Linked DNA regions of Daphnia pulex. The protein of the gene in region 1 interacts with the protein of each later gene in a biochemical or structural test. Links are inferred from orthologs where the notes say so. Each region holds a gene or a part of one and is shown in the gene's direction. Other genes may lie near its edges.

Region 1 (10,157 bases):
CCCCGTTGTCTGGCAACTCCATTAACTGAGCACCACAGTTCTATGTTATGAGGATCCATAATTTTCTCACTTGGAATAAAGGCGCTTACAGGGCATGAAGTATCAAATCCTTTTGCAAGTGTCCAAGGATGGCCCTTTTTCTTTGCTTCATCTTGGAAGTCTCTTGCAGTCATATCCAGTGCCAAACAAAATCCTCCAACATGGATCATGACATCTTCAGGTTTGACTTTTGAGCATTTGGATTTGATAACCACACCCAGTTCAATTTCATGATGAAGAGATGAGCAACCTGCAGGTATCTTTATTGGGCTTCCTTCTTCAACATAGGAAGAAGTGGGTTTTAAAAATAGAAGTGGCCTTTCAGGTATTGCATTTCCTAATTCAATAGCATGTTCACTGAAATATAAATATTCAACTGTTATTACTTCATTAAACTTACTATAATTTATATATAAATACCTGTAATTACGACCAACACAAATAATTTTCCGACCGAAATCTACAAATCTGGAGAGATGAGCAGACGCCATCGTACGTGCATATCAATACGAATATACGTTTTAGCTGCATTGTAAGCAAGCTTAGCAGCAGCTACGATAACTATTTCACGAGACAAAGTCCATTTTAACCAAATGAATTTTTCGGTAAATACTAAATAGTTACCTCGGGTTTTGAAACTGGACAAACAGAAACTAGACGATTTTTTTTTCCTAAAAATTACAGTCGCTCTACCAGATGGTGAGCTGCCAAATCAGCTGACGTAAGACGATAACAAACAGGCTCTGGAAAGTGGAAACAAAACAGATTTTTACTCGACTAAATATATGAAATTAGAAATCAAGATGTATCCAACTGTAACATGATTTCCTCCTTTAATTAAGCATGATTTTTAGGAATATAGCTATGGATCACCGATCACTAAGTGACCGTCATCCCGTTATTCATTTTTTACGTGATGGTAACCATGGCCGTACACATTTGAAGGTGAAGATGACTTTCAAAGTCATAAAGGTCGATAAAAGGCCATCTAAATAAAGAGCAAGACACTTTTTAAAATTGTGGGTATGAAAAAAAACAAACAATAGCTCTGTGTTTCATGATAACAAATTTTACACCCTACCATACTTGATATTTCTAACATCTTCTCTAATTACACCGACGATGAACCATTTCAGCATCGGGTTGTAAGACATAATAACGTGAAAATTTGATCAATCAGGAATAAATCAACGTAAAGAATCTACAATACAAAAATATTGCTTTCCATATTTCAAACCATGGTTCAAACGCTGGCTCAATACATTTAATGGCGGGAGCGCATTATTGATTCGCGTGGGGTAGAGGGTTGGCAAAAGAGTTCAGTAGTAGATCACGTGAATGCCCTTCAGAAACCAGCATTTGCCCTTGTCGGCTCGAGCCAAAATAAAAGCAGCGCTCGTCTTTCTTTGCAGCGCTAACTACCTAAACTAGAGTTCGCTTCGACTTTGGCTAGGCAATCCCGCCGAGGTATTGAGGACTCGAAACGCCGGTTCGATATCACAGACGTGCCCTGTACGCAATCCTAACAACAAGGTGAGTCTCCGAGTCTCATTTAAGAGTAATTTTTTTACTTGAAAGTATCTTAGAAATTCATGGCACTCGCTAATAGTAATTGGAATTCATGTTAGACTATTAGAGTATTAAGTACTAGACATTAACTAGTTTTAAAACGACAAAGAAATCTTTAGTTCCAATTTTTATAACTTTTAATTGATTCAGATTGATAGTATACTAAATTTTCCAATTGTTACGCTAAGTTAGCTTTTATATTACCATCGTGTGTTTTGCTCGTCGTGCATGATATATTCACGCACCAAACTTTCATGGTTAGGGAAAATGGCGGCTATAAAAATTTCCAGCACTCTAGAACATTCGAAAGCAACTATAAATAAATTATCTGTTAGCTGAAAACTATTCTAAATTTGTTCGACGAAATTGTCGATTTTACGGAAAATTCCGGTGTGCGTGTCACGTCGACGGGCGGGACGCTTGAAGGTCAATACAAGGGCTTCTACCTCTCCCCAAAACACTATACAGTATTTTCTACAGTGGAGATGTATTGATCTTGTCCTGCCTATTTTTAGATCCAAAGACTCCTTCAACTTAACCTTTACTGATTTTATACTTTCTACTAGTCAAAGTATATATATAAAACTACACAAGACCAAATGTTAATGTTTAAATCCGGTAAAATGTGGTTTTGCGTCATCTGCTGAGAACAGCTGTTTTTGACAAATCAATAGTTTTACTGTTGCTATGCTAAATTTAACGTTTAAATTAGGCAAATGGAGTTTTTAATTTAATTTTTTGTTACCTTGAGCAGTTATCACCTCCTCAACTTCACCTAAAGATGTCGAAAATCGGTATTAACGGATTCGGTCGTATCGGCCGCTTGGTGCTTCGCGCTTGCATCGAAAAGGGAGCTACGGTAAAACATAATTAATTAAAATATTAATGATTTCACTCATTCTGACATTTTGGGATTTTAGGTTGTTGCTGTCAATGATCCCTTCATTACTCTTGACTACATGGTGTACATGTTCAAGTATGACTCTACCCATGGCCGCTTCAAGGGAGAAGTGAAGGAAGAAGGTGGCAAGCTTGTTGTCAATGGACATCACATTCAGGTCTTCAGCGAGCGTGACCCCAAGAACATTCCATGGGGAGCTTCTGGAGCTGAATATGTTGTTGAATCCACTGGTGTTTTCACCACTTTGGACAAGGCCCAGGCTCACATTGATGGAGGAGCAAAGAAAGTTATCATCTCTGCCCCATCTGCTGATGCCCCCATGTTTGTTGTTGGAGTCAACCTTGAAGCATATGATCCTTCCATGAAGATTGTTTCCAATGCTTCTTGCACCACCAACTGCCTGGCTCCTCTGGCTAAAGTTATCAATGACAACTTTGGTATCATTGAAGGCTTGATGACCACTGTCCATGCCATCACTGCAACCCAGAAAACCGTCGATGGACCTTCTGGAAAGGTAAAATACTTTTGGAGAAAAAAAAAATGATCACATACTAACCTTTTGAATATTCGATCATTGCAGTTGTGGCGTGATGGCCGTGGTGCTGCCCAGAACATTATTCCTGCCTCTACTGGTGCTGCCAAGGCCGTAGGTAAAGTCATTCCTGAACTGAACGGAAAATTGACCGGTATGGCTTTCCGCGTACCCGTCCACGATGTCTCCGTTGTTGATCTGACCTGCCGCCTGTCCAAGGAAGCCAGCTACGACGAAATCAAGGCTGTCGTTAAAGCAGCAGCTGAAGGCCCGATGAAGGGTATTTTGGGCTACTGCGATGAGGAGGTAACATCATTAGAAACATTTTACATTAAAGTTGATTGATAACGTGAGATTTTTTGTAGGTCGTCTCCACAGACTTCATTGGTGACAACCACTCTTCCATCTTCGATGCTGCTGCAGGCATTGCTCTCAACAAAACTTTCGTCAAGCTGATTTCATGGTACGACAACGAATTTGGTTATTCGTGCCGTGTCGTCGATTTGATCAAGTACATGCAATCCAAGGATTAAATCAATAAAGCTGCATTGTGGGATGAGTCACTGGCATACGTCTTACAGCAGAATAATCCGTTACTTATTCTGTTAATGTTGTCTAATTATCTATCCCTCATTCTTGCTACCGCACTGGCTACAACGATTGATGTTTGTTGTTGGTCGTCCTTTCTGTAGTCTGAAATCCCAATCTTAGATGTCTGTTACATTGGCTACAGGAATATAAACGTTTGTCACAAAATTTACATTTCAATTTTTTATTATCAGCTCATTTTAAATCAACATTTTGATCTTTAATTTATTGATAAAATATCATTATCATAAAGAAATTTACTTTCCACATACCTGCTCACTTTGGTGACAGTAATCTCCTTTCATGCAACGCCATATATTTGCATTCAAACGTGCGAATATGTGAAGGGAACACGAAGCTTTCAAGACGCGATTCCCCAGTACTCATTGGTTACGCCTAATAATAAAATTATAGTTAGTAATCTGAAATAAAACATTTACAATTATGCTCTATAATATGATTGACATTTCTCTGTAACAGCCAATACTGACGAGGAGTTATATTCAAAAGATTTTTTTAGATATGGACATTATTCTATTACTTGACAGTTAACTTTCTCAGAAGCATCTTCCTGAGCCCTTCAGGAGTCATTTGTTATTCAGTGCAATGGTAAAAATAAAGACAGACTCACAACAATATTACATAGCACACTACGTTTCCAAGCAAGAAATTAGTTTAAAAACTGGCACATGTAATAATCTTTGAACTATACAAAATAGTGATTCAAGCACTATTGTTTTGTGAAATCACCAATACATCATATCTAATGAGTATTTAACAGGATATTTTCCGCTTTGAGATACCCAAGTATGTTTCATTCCCTTCCACTTTGGCACTAACACATTCAACCCTTCTATGCGAGAAGTACCTAGCTGAAACAACCATAATAGGGAATAACAGATCTTCATTTAATAAATTTAGAGTTTGTGACCTAATATGACAAATTAACTGATGTTTTCATACCTTTCTGAACATTCTATATCAATTTTGTAGTTTCCCCATCCACAAAGTTAAACTGAACTGAGGCTTTAGGATTAGAGATTATATCATTCTTAATTCATTCGAGACATGGTTGTTTGCACCTTTTTTCGTTTTGTCTTCGTGTGATACCTTTGTGGTTTGTCACTAGTTGATTCACGTGTTCGAATATTCTGGAAGCATTACGTAAACGACGCTTGGCTTGTCTCGAATGTTGAACGATCAAAGCTACATGAGATGGAAGATATCAATGATTTTTTTTAACACTTGATTTTTCAATTTGGAATTTAAACAAAATACAAGAACTTAAGATGCATGCCTGTGTGACTCACTGCTCTGTTGTTTTTTGAACCATCTGGGCGCCATCTTTCATAGGCAGTGGCAGCATAGCCAGTTCATTTTTAATTTTAGTTGATGAAAACTAAAACTAAAAATGCTTATGCATGCTACAGCCAAAATGGTTTGATTTCATTGAAATCCATATTTTACATGCAAATGTTTCATCATTTATTCGTTTAAATCCCCAAATTAAATTTTAAATTGATTTGTAATTATTCGAATTACCTTAAGGCAACCCTGGCAATAATTGTACGAAACTACACAGCTAAATTATTTGGCAGCCGTTGAAAAAAGGTAACTATTATTTATTTAAGAGCTGTTGCATCTTGCTTTCTTCAGTCATATTCACACTTTCTTATTACATCACACTGAAATTTTTATTCTCTAGTGACCAATAATGTCCGGTATTGCTATTGCTCGACTTTCTGAGGAACGTAAAGGCTGGAGGAAAGACCATCCCTTTGTAAGTTGCTGGTTTGCCAAACGATAGTTGTTGGGTTGTGTGTGTTTGATTTGTGTATCTTTGCGTTGCCTTTAGGGTTTTGTTGCCAGGCCCACAAAGAATCCTGATGGAACCCTCAATTTGATGAACTGGGAATGTGCTATTCCAGGCAAGAAATCGGTAATGAGTTTTACACTTAAAGATCTTACTTCACATTGGTGTCAGATATACTTACCAAATTCACTGTTGTTTGAAGTAACAATATTAAGTGTAACTTGTGCATACATTTACAGACTCCCTGGGAAAATGGATTGTACAAAATCCGTATGATTTTTAAAGATGACTACCCCTCTTCTCCTCCAAAATGCAAATTTGAGCCCCCACTTTTCCATCCAAACGTCTATCCATCAGGTTGAATCAAATGGCTATTTGAGTGTTTTGTTTTAGCTAACCTTTTGGCATTTAATATCCAGGCACAGTTTGTCTATCATTGTTGGATGAAGAAAAGGACTGGAGACCTGCAATTACCATCAAACAGATTTTGCTTGGAATTCAAGATCTCCTAAATGACCCCAATATTAAGGATCCGGCTCAGGCAGAAGCTTATACTATCTACTGGTAATGATTTTTACACCAGTAGACAACTTGAAAGTTTGGATTGTAATATTTCATTTGATTATTTCTCCAGTCAAAATCGAATGGAGTACGAAAAACGTGTTAGAGCACAAGCCAAGGCTATGGCTGCCACCACTGATTTGCTGTCTTAATTTCCCAAGTAAATCCAGCTGTCAAGGAATAAGTTAACTTCTTTTTCTTTTCCACGTGCTCTATTTGTTTTTTAAAAATTCTTATTGTCTTCATTTCAATACTTACTTATCGTCCAGAAAACATACTCCGATCTGAAATAAAACGCTAAGTAAGGTGTAACACTTGTTGACCTTTTTTTTTTTCAATTACGTCACTTGACTATTTTATTTGGTTGTGACCTACTTTGTTGATATGCGTTTTATCTGGCGAATATCTGATTATGAAGACCAAACTTCTTTTAACTACTAGAATTCATCAAAGGCTCTCTTACCTGATTAAAATTTGAACTAAATGGGTTATCGATGTACAAAGTGCAAAACAAGGTATGTAAAACAACAACCGATTTATCACAATATTTTCAGCAGCGACAATATTACAGATACACTAAAATCAAAGAAAACATTCCGACTTGAAATCGATTAAAAATCTTAACCGAGAAGAATCGGAGATCGGGTATGGCATTTTCAAATGGCGAAATATACGAATCACGAAACAAGTAAAGCAAATTTGTCATCATGTAAAAAGACTGTGGAGGATGCAAGAATAAGGAGGCGCAATTTCACACAACGCTTTCTCTGTCATCACGGTGGAGGTCGGAAAAGTCCTCTCCCGTCTGCGGATTCCGACTAAAAGCATCACCTCCGTGACCCACGCCGAACAGATTGACTATCCACCGCTTGACGTTGGGCACGCTCTTGCTAACAGTGGGGGCGATGACCGTGTCTTTGCCTTCTTTACCGAGTCTCTCGCCCGATGTCGAATGTTCCAGTTGTTCACAAGAGTATCTCTTTTCAGACTCCATCAATCCACAGGCTGTGAGACTGGGCCGATGCCGAGTGCGATCGCGACTGAGCAGAGTCTCGGAATTGACGTCAATCCCTTCGTCGTCGTTTTGGAGTAACCTGACGGCCTGGTAGCCCGAAGTCTTGATATGTCCGTTGGGTCGTGACAATTCGGCTTGCTCCGGTTGATCCCCGTTCGGGATTGTCAAGACGACGTTGTGATCGTCGCTGAGAAGTCGAGAATGTTCGTCTTCAGTGTCATCCTGCGACGCGCAACTGGGCAGCGGCGACCGGTCTATCAAAGTCGACCTCAATTCAGACGGGAAAAGATCCAGGGATTTGGATTCTTTCCTGCGACGCTGATTCGACTTGTTTCGAGAAGGGAAGACTTGAGGAACGCAGAGAAACTGCCGGGGACCATGACTAACCGAACTCAAACCGCCCGCTCTCTGCTGCTGCTGCTGCTGCTGCTCCTGATGCTGGTGGTGGTGGTGGTGGTGGTGTTGTTCATCTTCGTCTTCGGGAAATCGACCGAGTGACTGGCATCGCCTTTGAGGTAACAGCGGACTGGCTGTTGTTCCGCTCCGATAATCCACATCACCGCTCTCGCTCGCTCCCTCGGCAACGATTTGAACTTGGCTGGCATGTGCGCTGCGCGTTAATAGGCAACTACGCCGTAGACTTGCATTTGACTTGGTTGTTCGAACTGAACGCAGAGACCGAGCCGATTGGCTCGTTTTCCTGTCGAAAAGCTGTTTTGTTTAAAAAGAAATGGAACGTGTTACCATGGAAACTTTCAAAAGGGAGAAAATGAGAAATTTATACTTTCGGAGTTGGAGGTTGATTGGTGCTGATGATGCTGCTGCATATCGAGTCGCTATTGGAACCCTCCAACAATTCGGCCGAATTATCGTGGTGATACATCCTGTTGGGCTGGCCTTGTGTCCGTCCTTGTTGCGCAGCCAGCGACGAGCTCATTCGAATGCTCCCGCTGCCAACGGGCCTCGAATCGGACGACACTCTCCTCGTCAGCATCGATTCCGCCCTGTGAAGCATTCGAGGACTCCTCCGGCGAAGATCCGACATGTTGCCGGCACTGCCGTTGGCGTTGGAACTCGCTGCTCCGATGGCACCAGACGGGCGACAAAAGAGTGGCGCTTGATCGGGTCCAACGTCCGCTCGTGCTGTAACAGCTCCACTTGTGACGCCAATCAGCCAGTGTGTCAACACTTCGCCTTTGCCCTTCATGGCGACCAGTCCTCGTTCTTCCGTCACGTAACCGCCGATCTTTTCCAACGCCTTTCGACACTCGCAACTGATGTGAATCCTCAGGGGCTCGCCGTTCGATTCCATCCGCGAAGCCGTGTTGACCGTGTCGCCGAACAAACAATATCTGGGCATCGTCAAACCCACTACTCCGGCCACCACGGGACCTGTTTCATCATATCGACAAAAATGGTTTTTTACCCTTTATTTGTATTTATTTTAAACTTGTGTATTGTACCGGTGTGAATTCCGATCCTGAGTAAAACTGGATCTTTAGGTCGATGGGACACGCGATGATTCTTGACTGCTGATAGCAAATCAAGCGCCATCGACGCAATCATGCCGGCGTGTAGATCGCCGTTGGGTAAAGGCAATCCAGAAACCTGTTTTCACCCAATTTTAGATGAAATTAAGTCAAAAATGAAAACAAGTTGTATATATTGTGAGACTTACCACCATGTAGGCATCTCCGATGGTTTCCACCTTGTACACATCGTAACCCTGGATGATGGAATCGAACAAGGTGTACAAATCGTTGAGAAAGTTGACCACCTAATTGCGGAGAAAACAACGCCCACAAAATTGTCAAATCTAAATCGAGTTACAAGTTTTTAATAAAAGAATTACCTGGAACGGAGTACTCTCGGCCGACATTTTGGTGAAGCCAACAATGTCACTGAAATAGATGGTGACAGCTTCGTAGGATTCCGGTTCGACGCCCCACCCTCTTGTGAGTCGTTGAGCCACGGGTCTGTCAATGTCAATGTCAGCCATTAAGAGCTTATTCTTTTAAGGGTGTGTCTATTCATTTCGCAAGAGTGGCTAATAATAAAAATAAAAAAGGGGGGTTGAAAAACCAGACTGACTTTGGTAGCATGCGATGGAGGAGGTCCTCGGTCTTTTGTTTCTCTTCGTAGAGAAGTTGGGTCCGCTCGGTGACCAAGAGCTCGAGATTGCCGGCATAGATCACCATCATTTCCATCAACTGGTCCATAATAAACGGCTTCCTGTGCATCGACCAAACGGCCACGATAACAAAAAGTCAGAAATCATATCAGACGCCAGGTCATTATGTGCCTACAGTACACAAGACGACTGCTGTGCCTATATAGTGTTGAGTACGAAGAAGAAGAATAACTGGGTAACCGTATATATAATAACTTACATTCCCTCTCTCATTTTACGAAGACGATCGCGAATGGTGGGGAAATCCGGGCGCTGCTCCGGTGACTCGGCCCAACAATCCTCCATGCAAGAGCGAATGTACTCCGGACAGCCCATTCCAATGTCGGGTTGCACGAAAATGCAATAATCTTGGAGCATCTTTAACAAACACAGAATGGGGTAATGAATAAATAAGTCAATGTAGCCATCAACAACTAGATACTATATATCTCGAGATCATTTTCTATGGGTTTTCTCTACAGACTCATCAAACAAAAAGAAAAAGAAAATAAAGAAAAGAAAAACATTGTCGCGGCGCCAGCAGTTTCGTTCAATGCAATCCGCCGGATGAGGAAATGATGCTAGTAATTCAAGGCTATGTATATGGGGATGTCGGTATATAGGCTTGACGAGCCGAAACGACTTTGGCAGTTGTTTCCCCCAACCAGAAGTTGGGGAGGAATCCTCGGCAGGATCGAAAATGTATTTAACAACGCAAAAAGAGCATCCAGCTGATTCTTTCATTTCATTTCATGAGAGTAGATCTTTCACGCTCGTGAAAGGACTGGGGCGATCGATAATAAAGCCGACTGGCCATAAATCGGCGTATCGTTGGTATATTATTGAGGAGGTAAACAAAAAACCCGTGCAGCGTGATAAACTACACATCCACGCTCCATTAGAACGGCACGCGTGAGTTTGTAATAGTTTTAGTTGTGTATACCTGGATATCGGGACGGAAGGGTTTCT
Region 2 (9,863 bases), on another chromosome or scaffold:
ACGATGTATTACGAATGCTTACGGTACGGTCTATTTAGACATGGCATCAGACCACTTAGGTCCACCATGACTGCTTAGGTGTCACTGTTTCAAATATTTTTTTTATGAACGACATACAGAGGGTATTTATTAATTTTATCTGATAACTCTCTCACGACAATATATACAGTATTACATATAATAACTACTCGCAGCACTGATCACAATAAGCAAAATCAGTGATTATACGGAATGAAAATGGCTTATTTTTTAAAAGTTAACTGCTTTTGTCAGTTTGTGTTGATAATTCGATAACAGCTGATAAATGTCATGCTGCGGCAAGCCCACATAAAAGTGACTCGAAATTGCTCACTTTTAGCTTTGGCTTGACGCAGAGACAGTTCTCTCTCATTCTTGGAACCCACAGTTTGTTTCCGAGATCGTCCCATCTTCTTCAGAAGCTTTACGTCCGCCTCCTCAGTCGGACCATCTGAAGAAAGAATGAGAACGTTCTGGTATTTGATTTCGGCGACGGCCGTCATTTTGCTTCATCCGGTAGCCACCCAGACGCCTCAACAGCCAGGAGCGACCGCAGCATCTCTCATCACGTGAGTAAAAATTTTATCATATTAGTTGGGCATGGCAAGTCTTCCTCATTGTGTACATTTGCAGTTTTCTCCATTATTACAAGATGATGGCTAGCATAAAGGGATATGTGATGTATAGAAAGCTTTAAGATTAAATTTTCCTTCTAACCAGCGGTCGGGGAAGGTTTGGGTGGGGAAAAAATCAGCAAAGTCTCTTTCGAGTACTCCTTTTTGCGCTCAAAGACGTACACACTGCCGTATCCAATTACCTCTATGCTATCCGCCTCATGGGGGTCTATCTAGTTGCTCAAAACAACCTTGCCCTCTTTCTTTTTGCGCTCCCATCGTTGCTCTGGAATTAATAGTTGTTGAAAAGTCTGCTGAACACATGTGCTGCTAACAACAAAAACAAGAATATGCCATTTACTTGTGAAGCGCTTGAACGGAAATTCTAGCTCGCCATGGGCCGTATATGCGGCCGGCGGTAAGGGGGTTGTCTGAGTCTCCAGATTTGACCATAGATAATAAAGATTCATAAATGTTTGATTTCTTTTATTCAAACACGTGGATTGAGTAGCTCAATGAACAAAACCGAAGAAACAACGCCCATTTCCTGTTGTGGGAACTTGCCGGCGATATGACAGAGTGACAGAGGTCGCCGTTTCCCTTTCGATTTGAAATAAGTCGATGATGTCGCTCGTGTCATCCTTGTTTCCAAGTGAATTGAAGTCTTCCCGCTTCCTCGAATTCCTCAATGCCTTGACCTCAATCGACAACATTTTAAAAGATTCTAATCGTAGGCATGGTGATGTCATTTGCCATGCGAATTAGGCTATAACTCGTCTCTTTTCCCAATCTGCGGTAAATAACACATCTAATCGAGTTTCGAAATGGTAGGCATTCGGACATCAGGGACGCTATTTTGACGCTGGTCGGAGCAGTTAGAGAGCAGACGGGCAAGCTCGAACGCCACGAACTTCGTGAGAGGCAGCTGGGAGATGCCCTGACGCGTTCCCTTAGAGATCTTGATTCACGAACACGTGGTCAAGATAAGAATCTGGAGAACCTGGCTATCCTCATGGCCCGAACCGATGAGCGGCTCCGTAAGATGGAAGAAATGGTCATACAGGTAACTTCAAGTCGATCTATAATTAAAGGTCAAATATCAACCACAATATTTTATATCAGAGGGACGAGAGAGAGAGAATTCAACTCCAGAAAATCACTGACAATACAGTGGCTATCCGCAATGGAATTGAATCCGGAAGAAGTGCCGGTGCTCCTAGTGGTCCTGCTCCGGCAGCCGCTTCAACTGGAGATCTCGGCGAAGTACTGAAACAGCTGACTCGCACTCGTAAAAAGGTGGAGAGCGTGGAAGAATCATTGCAAAACCGTCTGTCAGTTGTGGCTAACGAAGTAAGTATTAAGAAAATTAATCCAGTCAAGATCGCGAGTGAGAGCTACATGCTGTTAACTTCCTAGGTGAAAATCGTTGGAGAAAAGTACGAAACGCGCAGTGAGAGACTAGAGAGCTTACAGTTGACTACCATGGAGAACCTGGGCAAAGCTCAAGCTGGCGATGCCGAGAAATTGCGAGCTGCATCTGTCAATCTGGTGGCTACGGAAGGCAAATGGCGACAGTTTTTCAGCGATGCTCAGAATCTGGTCAACCAGTTTGGAGTTGGTGTCAACCGCATTTCTGATCACGTATACGAGTTTCAGAGTTCATTCTTGAGAACAGATGTCAATGAAAATTTCATGATTGCATCCAGGCGAGTCGAATGAAGAATGACACTTCAGCCATCTTAGTCGGTATTGAAAAGCTGGAGACATCTTTGGAGAATTCCGGATCGTCTTCCGGATCGCAGAGCAATCCTGAGGCCCTTGTTTCCGCTATTCAAGTCCATCTGAAACCAACGCTCGATGCTGTTCATTCACTGGTCAACGACTCGTACCAGTCACAGATGAAACTAGACGAAAACTTCAAAGAAGGTTGGCAATCTTTGTCACGCGGAATTGACAAAGGTGTGATGAATGTCACCGATGTGTTTCAAACTCGACTTGGAGCATTTGAACACAAAATGAGTGAGAGTCAGAAGCTTATCCAAGACCAGGTAATGCCAATAATCTCTTTCACAATCAAATAATAATTGAATATCATTACCACATGATAATTTTTCATGAATTAGGTGGAGGAATCTGGAAATATGGCCGAGACATTGGCCGACAGGGTGGACAAAAGCTATGCAAGTCTTGCCAAAGAAATTCACGGGTTGCAAAAAGTAGAACAAGTACTTCTCGACACGGCTGATGGAGTTCTTGATACGAAACGACGTCTCGAATTTGCCGTCCAGCAAATTTTGCTTGAATTGGGCGACTCAATCCGCAGACAAACGGGCGATCTGAACTCGACATTAGCCCGCAAGGTCGACGACGTCACCTTCTCGGTCATCAAAGATCAAAGTACCGCACTTACTAACATGACAAGTAAACTAGAAAATGAACTCGGACAGGTACACGGACTATAAAAATGATTTTACTTTTATTATTAGTTTTTTTTTTCCCTATTTACTAATTTATAGAATTCATTTCTAAAATCATCTAGGTCTGGCGTCAGATTGGCGTGCTATACCAGAGCGCCAGTCAATCACAAGAATTGTTGCAACGAGTGGAACAGCAGACAGCCCAACACGTCGGCGGTAGTCTTCAAGCTCTCAGCAGCATGGACAAAAGAGTTGGCCAGGTACGAATATCTTCGAACGACATTATTATGAAATTGATTAATGAACTTTGTTATAGGTAACGGAACGGGTCAACGAAGTTGACGACCATTTGAACTTTTTGCTGGGCCGCTTGTCGTTAGTAGTGCAGGAATTCAATCAAGTGAGGGGTGGATTGGGTGAGGCTCTCGAATCACTTCGTTCAGGACTTGCAGTCACAGGCCAACAGCCAAGTACGACGGCCGGTAAATCCTCTTCACCTCCTTATGACGTTTCCAGTGGTCCAGTACCCAATCAAGAGGACGTCACCGTTATCACGCGGAAAGAGAATATTAATAACGACAGCGACGAGAATTGAAATTGAATTGCTCATTCGTGACTGAGCTGTAGACAATAGCATTGAGCTTCTTTGCAAAATTGAGAACAGTAGACATTCGTAGACTTAACTCTAGTTTAATTTTTATGTAGTCACAACTTTCATTTCGGACGAAACACATAAAATATAAGTACAGTGCTCATTGAGTAGAATCAACCCCACTCTATTAGCCAAAGTAGATTCTCATCGTACGCAACCAAATAAATTACCGCCAAGTTTTTAAAATCCTATCAATCAAACAATACAAAAAATACGGTCTGTATTCGTTCCTGCGGCGAACGAAGATTAATTGAATTCCACGCCACATGTCTCACATAATAAGTTGCTCCTGCTGCGTGTGTCAACTGGATAATGCACCTTCTGCCTCCGTTCTATTTTTTTCTCATTCAAATGTGAATTGTACACTCGTTGCCAAAACAAATAATACATTAGATACACATTTGTATATGAATCACACGGCTAATACTTGAATCAATATGACACATGTTTCGTATCTTTTTTGACAATTTGACAATCGTGTGGCTTAGTGAGTTGTACTTTTTTCCTCTCTAGTTCTATATTGCATTATAGCATGGATGAAGTCAATACAGGAAACGAACAAGTTTTGACAAAGATTGATTGGCTTCCTCGTCTGACTGTTGTTCAACTACCGAAGGATCAGTGCAATGCTTAAAAAATATTTCTGTAAAGAAGAGGCATCATCTTGTATAATAAAATTTATCTTGTTGTAATAAAACCCCCAAACCGTCTCAAAGGTAAGGTTTTATTTCATACTAAAGCGCAATAATCTAGAACAAAATAATTTGTACAACAACGCATTAATAGCTATATGGAATTAATTAATAAAAATGGCAATAAATTCGACTCCTAAAATGAAAATGACGCTGTTGGAAATTTTTCGTTGGGTTAGCAACAAGTTTGACTACTAAAAAAAATTGCTCGAATTCCAGTGGAAGGTTTACAGAATCAAACCAAAATTTAACATTCATTCAAAAATATCTAATAAAATAGTCTTCTATAATTTCGGTTTGCTGTACTCCATAAGACACAACTTGTCAGTAAGCAAGAAATTTTCTTAAAATTCCCCTGGAATAGGATGCTATTGGTCGATTAATACTGGTGTGTCGCTCATTCAAAAGAACGAAGTCAGCAAACAGAAAAAAATCCGACGATGCGAAACTGTAACTGTAACAACACAAATTATTTACTACCTACAGATGTCGCAACAATGTTCCTTTTTTTATTACGACAGCATTATCAATTCGTACAGGGAAAACCAGCAGTCGTCCCGCCATTTAATAATTCAAGTCATCAACTCACCAAATTCGATTCTAGTTTGCTAACTGATTATTGGAGTAACTCGTTTCTATGCTGCGGTTGGCATTTACAATCTCAGCAAAAATTTTTATGGAGTGAGTGCTATGGACGTAGTGACGGCTGTAAACCTATTAATTCATGAAACATTAATATGATGTATGATTATCAAATTAAATTAAGGGACATCAACTGCACGCACACGTTGCTAATAATCATCCATAACGATTGCTAACTGTGTAATAATTGCTTAAGCAGCCAAAATGTAGTCGAAGAAGATCTCAATTTATATTTTTATTGAATCAAGCCATTGGATATCATCAGTCTTAATTTTAAATATTATCAATCCCAAATTACATATTGTGCAATTGTTTCAAGCAAAATATTCTTCAAAGCAGCAAAAAATTTAAAAAAAATCCTACAAATTTTATTAATATATTCCAATTTATTTAAAAAAAGTTTTTTAATTTAAAAAAATGTACTCATTTCATACGTGGCCGGCCGTTGTTAAAATAAGTTTTTAGTGCAGTGCCGGCATCCAGACGTATATAGCTGGTGCGGCAACGTTTATTCTCGGCGCTTTTTTGGCCCACGCCATTATTCATTATTCTTCAATAGAGTCGTCTCAAACGTGCTGCTAGTTTTAGAAAAAGAACTTGTTTTAACCATGGCTGATGTAAGCACGTAACTATCTATGTTACTTTTTAAGTATTGCTAAATTTACCCCATTCGTTTCTTTTTCCATAAAATTTGTTTTCACGTGTTGTCTTTGCTGGATAGTCGATTTTTTTTTAGTTCTGATCATGTGTTCGATATTTTAACTGTTTGCCTTTGCATTACCCTATACCAATTTGGCTAACTGTGGTTTCTATTTTTAATATACAGGATCAGAAACCTGATGCCGGTGATGCAGGATCAGAGTACATCAAATTGAAAGTTGTTGGCCAGGATTCAAATGAAATTCACTTTCGAGTAAAGATGACGACACAGATGGGCAAACTCAAGAAGTCTTATAGTGAAAGAGTGGTAAGGGTTTTTCCTGTCATTTTTTTTTTCACTTATTGATAAAGATTTTCTTTGTGTTCAGGGTGTGCCAGTTACTTCGCTGAGGTTTTTGTTTGATGGAAGGCGAATTAATGATGATGAAACCCCTAAACAGGTATGTTGTGTCTAATGCACTTAGCTGATGTGTTAAATGATATGCAAGTAATGAATTTCTGTACTGCTGTTCTAGTTGGAAATGGAGAATGATGATGTCATTGAGGTTTATCAGGAACAAACTGGTGGCAATTAATTTAAGAACCTCGATGCATTCATGGAAAACTTTCCACATTTTCTGGACAAAACTGTCTTTTAATTTCCAATGTTGTCATCAAAATATCGCCCTGCTTTCTGTTCTTCATTTCCAATCGAATAAATAAAACCATTTTCGTAACCGAGAATGATCCTTTCGTTAACTTATGGGCACTCTGCCACTTGTTTCTATCAACTTGTATTGCTATGAATATTGACATCAAAGTTCAAGGATGAAAGGTCTTGACTTCCATTTCTTGCTTTTGATCGCAAAGTGCGTACAAACCTTTTCGAGAGAGGATGCATTGCACAACGCTGTTGCTTGGTAAAAATAAATTGTCAATCAAGAATTTATAATATACTTTATTTTGTGTTGTTCAGTTGTACTAGTAGTAGGTGCAACAAGTTGTAAAATTCCCAAAAGTTATAAACCACTTTGTGGGGTTAACGGGATTTCCTACACGAATCTGAAGGCTTTACAGTGCCATAATAAGGCTAGCCCTGGAAACAGTAGGCTATTTGAAATATTCTTTTTTAGGAAATGGTTCCATCCGTGTTGAATTTGTTTGGTTTTCTCAGTGATTCGAATAGCTTATAAAGGACGCTGTCTTCGACCTGATATTCGTGAATGTAACTATTCTTCAGTCGTGAAAAATGTCTGCGGCAACGACGGGCTTACCTATCTGAATCCCGCAATGGTTGCATGCAAGAACAAATTACAGCCTAAAAAACGTATATTTTTATATCATACATAATTAAACGATGCACAGTTGATATTTTTATGACATTTTAGAGGTGAAGATTATTAGCAAGGGCAAATGTAAAAGTAAAACAAACGCTCGAAGAAGAAAAGTGCCAAATAAAACAGTGAGACCCGGAAACGTCACGGGACCAAAGCAGAAATAGGATTACTCCCCCAAAACCTCACTTCGTTCGTTATAACTTGTATCATGCCAAATTAGACTCTAAACTCTCAAAGTCAATATATGTCAATAAACATGACCAACTTCTGTTTAAAATAAACGGCTGGGTTCTGACAAGAGATCCGTGTTACTAATGTGTCAACTATGCCACAATGCCGGCTCGTCATTCAATTTTCTCGTGCCATGTACTATATTTTTTAAAAAATTCGCCGGGTTTCATTTCTCAAAATAGTTCAGATTAATGCAAGCATTCTTAACAGTCGGCGGCCGTTTTTCAAGGAAGACGGATCTACTAAGATGACGTGTTAAGTTCGTGCACAATACGAAAAGTGCCTTTAATCCTTTTTTTAAAAGACAAAACATATGGTTAATAAGCGCATCGGCTTCCAACATACTCGATAGAGTGGGAATCAAACAAGTCACGTGACTTGGACTGTGCTATAAAATTCGATCCAAGCATTATTTTAAAAAAATGTCTCCCTTACTCACGCCTCTAGTGTATACAACTTCCAACTATTAATAATAGTACTAGATGTCTTGATTTTGTATAAAAAAGGTAAATCCTATTATGAGCTATCCAATCCTCTTGATTGAAAATAAATTTTACAAATAATTGTAATGACAAATATGAACATGCAGTTAACAATTAACGTTCTAATTCTTTGATAGTGTTTTTGTTTTTAGTCACTAGGAGCGCATGAGACAAGCTTAAAGGTGAGTGGGCGAGTCTCTACGATTTCCAGAAGAGGGTCGGGCACAGCTTTTTCTACTTCATACTTTTTGACGTGGCAACGTAACGTTGAATAGCTAGTTGAAAGAGGTCTTCGTCCGCCATTATTAACCCTCTGCTCGTAGTCTAATTCGGGCTCGTTCATTCTTTGGAATCCGTTGCGTTCGATTCAGAGTCCGTAAGTTACCTTCACCACATTTACTAAAGAGTCGAATATGTCAACTTCTAAGTGTATTAATAATTAGTTCATTTTGCGAAGCACTTGTAATTGTATGTCGTGTCGAGTCGGTTCTGCCACTCCACAAACTTCACCGAGTCGGCGTTGAGCAAGGGTTTGACAGTTGCTCAATGTCTAGCTTCAGTTTAGTCATTAGTTAGCAAAGATATATCTTTGTAACATTTTCCAGTGATTCTAATTGCCATTCTTCCTTTTTTAGGTTATATTCTTAAGTTATTCCATCCAACTTTGCAATGGGAAACGTTTTCGCCACCCTGTTCAAAGGCCTATTTGGCAAAAAGGAAATGAGAATATTGATGGTTGGACTTGACGCAGCTGGTAAAACTACAATTCTCTACAAACTCAAGTTAGGTGAAATCGTCACAACAATTCCCACAATTGGTAATTTATTCAATTTTCAGCAAATTTGACTTGCAGTTTTTATCATGTAATTTGTTTTTATTCCCAAGGTTTCAATGTAGAAACAGTTGAATATAAAAACATATCTTTCACTGTTTGGGATGTTGGTGGCCAGGACAAAATTCGACCATTGTGGAGACATTACTTCCAAAACACACAAGTATGTTTATTAAGCTAAAAATTTGAGTGACTTTTCTAATTGTCCATTACAATCTAGGGTCTCATCTTTGTAGTTGATTCTAACGATCGTGAGCGTATTGGTGAAGCCCGAGAAGAGTTGATGAGGATGCTGGCCGAAGATGAACTCCGTGAAGCCGTGTTGCTTATTTTTGCAAACAAACAAGTATACTTGTCTTTCATTTTCAAAAATGTTTTGACAACAATGACATCATTATTATCCTTGTATTCAGGATTTGCCGAACGCTATGAACGCCGCCGAAATCACAGATAAACTTGGACTTCATTCTCTGCGCAACCGTAACTGGTATATCCAAGCAACCTGTGCCACCAGTGGAGATGGACTTTACGAAGGGCTTGACTGGCTTTCAAACCAATTGAAAAATGCGTCGCGCTAAAGAAAAGAAGATAAAAAGAAACAAGATTTTCAAATTCATATTTTTCAGCTCTAGTAATCCTTGCCTCTCGGCCTCCTTCGCCACCTTTCATCTTTTTTTTTTTGCCCCCCTTCCATCGAGAGTAAGAAAAAGGAAGGCAAACACTTCTGATCCTACTTGAGGGTCCTCTCGCTGCTCTTACAAGGGACATTCCTGGTTTATTCATTTCAGATAAATTCTTTTTTCTCTTCAAAAATGGAAGTAAGCTTTTTTTTTTCTAATGTTCGTAATCGGTTTATTAGCACTTGAGGCAAGGACGTCTGTATATTGAGAACCAAAAAGGCGATTTAAAAAAAGCAGCGGTACTGAACAAGTGTTGCCACCTTTTGTTTCTGTTTTTCCGTGTGCTACAGTTAGGCCCTCATCATCCTCCATCTTTTTCATCCCTTCTATTTTAAATCTAAATTTGTCTTGTGCAAAAAAAGGTAAAATCTTGAGTACGCCAGCAAACATAATCGATACCAACGATGAACAGTCCCCCTTTATTTTCTATTTCCATTTTGTTGTTTCCTCTTTATTAGTTATCTTTTTCGGTTAATCTTGGAAAAGATCTTGGAAAAGAAACAAATGGGACGAGAACATCGCGAGTTTCTCTCAGTGTGCTGGGTGATTCCAGCTGGATATGTGCTGTTTGTTGCATACAAGGCAATACACATCTGCCCAGCCGTTTACGTTCTGTTTAATGTAAAT

What was found.
Region 2: of the proteins of SUMO-conjugating enzyme UBC9-B (region 1) and small ubiquitin-related modifier-like, one has a biochemical effect on the other in vitro, tested with the Drosophila melanogaster proteins (2 studies listed by BioGRID). The link is inferred for Daphnia pulex from reciprocal best matches to the Drosophila melanogaster genes lwr and Sumo.

What each region holds. Positions count from the first base shown.
Region 1 is NC_060018.1:628,808-638,964, forward strand, and holds SUMO-conjugating enzyme UBC9-B, read left to right. Parts: upstream 1-5,087; 5' UTR 5,088-5,240; exon of another isoform or gene 5,241-5,334; 5' UTR 5,335-5,343; coding exon 5,344-5,409; intron 5,410-5,484; coding exon 5,485-5,568; intron 5,569-5,681; coding exon 5,682-5,799; intron 5,800-5,861; coding exon 5,862-6,006; intron 6,007-6,076; coding exon 6,077-6,155; 3' UTR 6,156-6,315; downstream 6,316-10,157. Other genes in the region: acylpyruvase FAHD1, mitochondrial-like, read right to left, coding at 1-396, 460-530; glyceraldehyde-3-phosphate dehydrogenase 2-like, read left to right, coding at 2,390-2,467, 2,529-3,023, 3,090-3,347, 3,407-3,574; receptor-type guanylate cyclase Gyc76C-like, read right to left, coding at 6,755-7,729, 7,803-8,410, 8,482-8,626, 8,697-8,795, 8,871-8,994, 9,110-9,250, 9,409-9,566, 10,132-10,157.
Region 2 is NC_060017.1:274,003-283,865, reverse strand, and holds small ubiquitin-related modifier-like, read left to right. Parts: upstream 1-5,490; 5' UTR 5,491-5,643; coding exon 5,644-5,652; intron 5,653-5,861; coding exon 5,862-6,002; intron 6,003-6,063; coding exon 6,064-6,135; intron 6,136-6,210; coding exon 6,211-6,270; 3' UTR 6,271-6,418; downstream 6,419-9,863. Other genes in the region: putative leucine-rich repeat-containing protein DDB_G0290503, read left to right, coding at 481-587, 1,464-1,695, 1,755-1,982, 2,049-2,273, 2,339-2,680, 2,756-3,079, 3,172-3,309, 3,366-3,644; serine protease inhibitor dipetalogastin-like, read left to right, coding at 6,570-6,594, 6,651-6,779, 6,849-7,001, 7,063-7,175; ADP-ribosylation factor 1, read left to right, coding at 8,394-8,541, 8,610-8,719, 8,777-8,902, 8,970-9,134.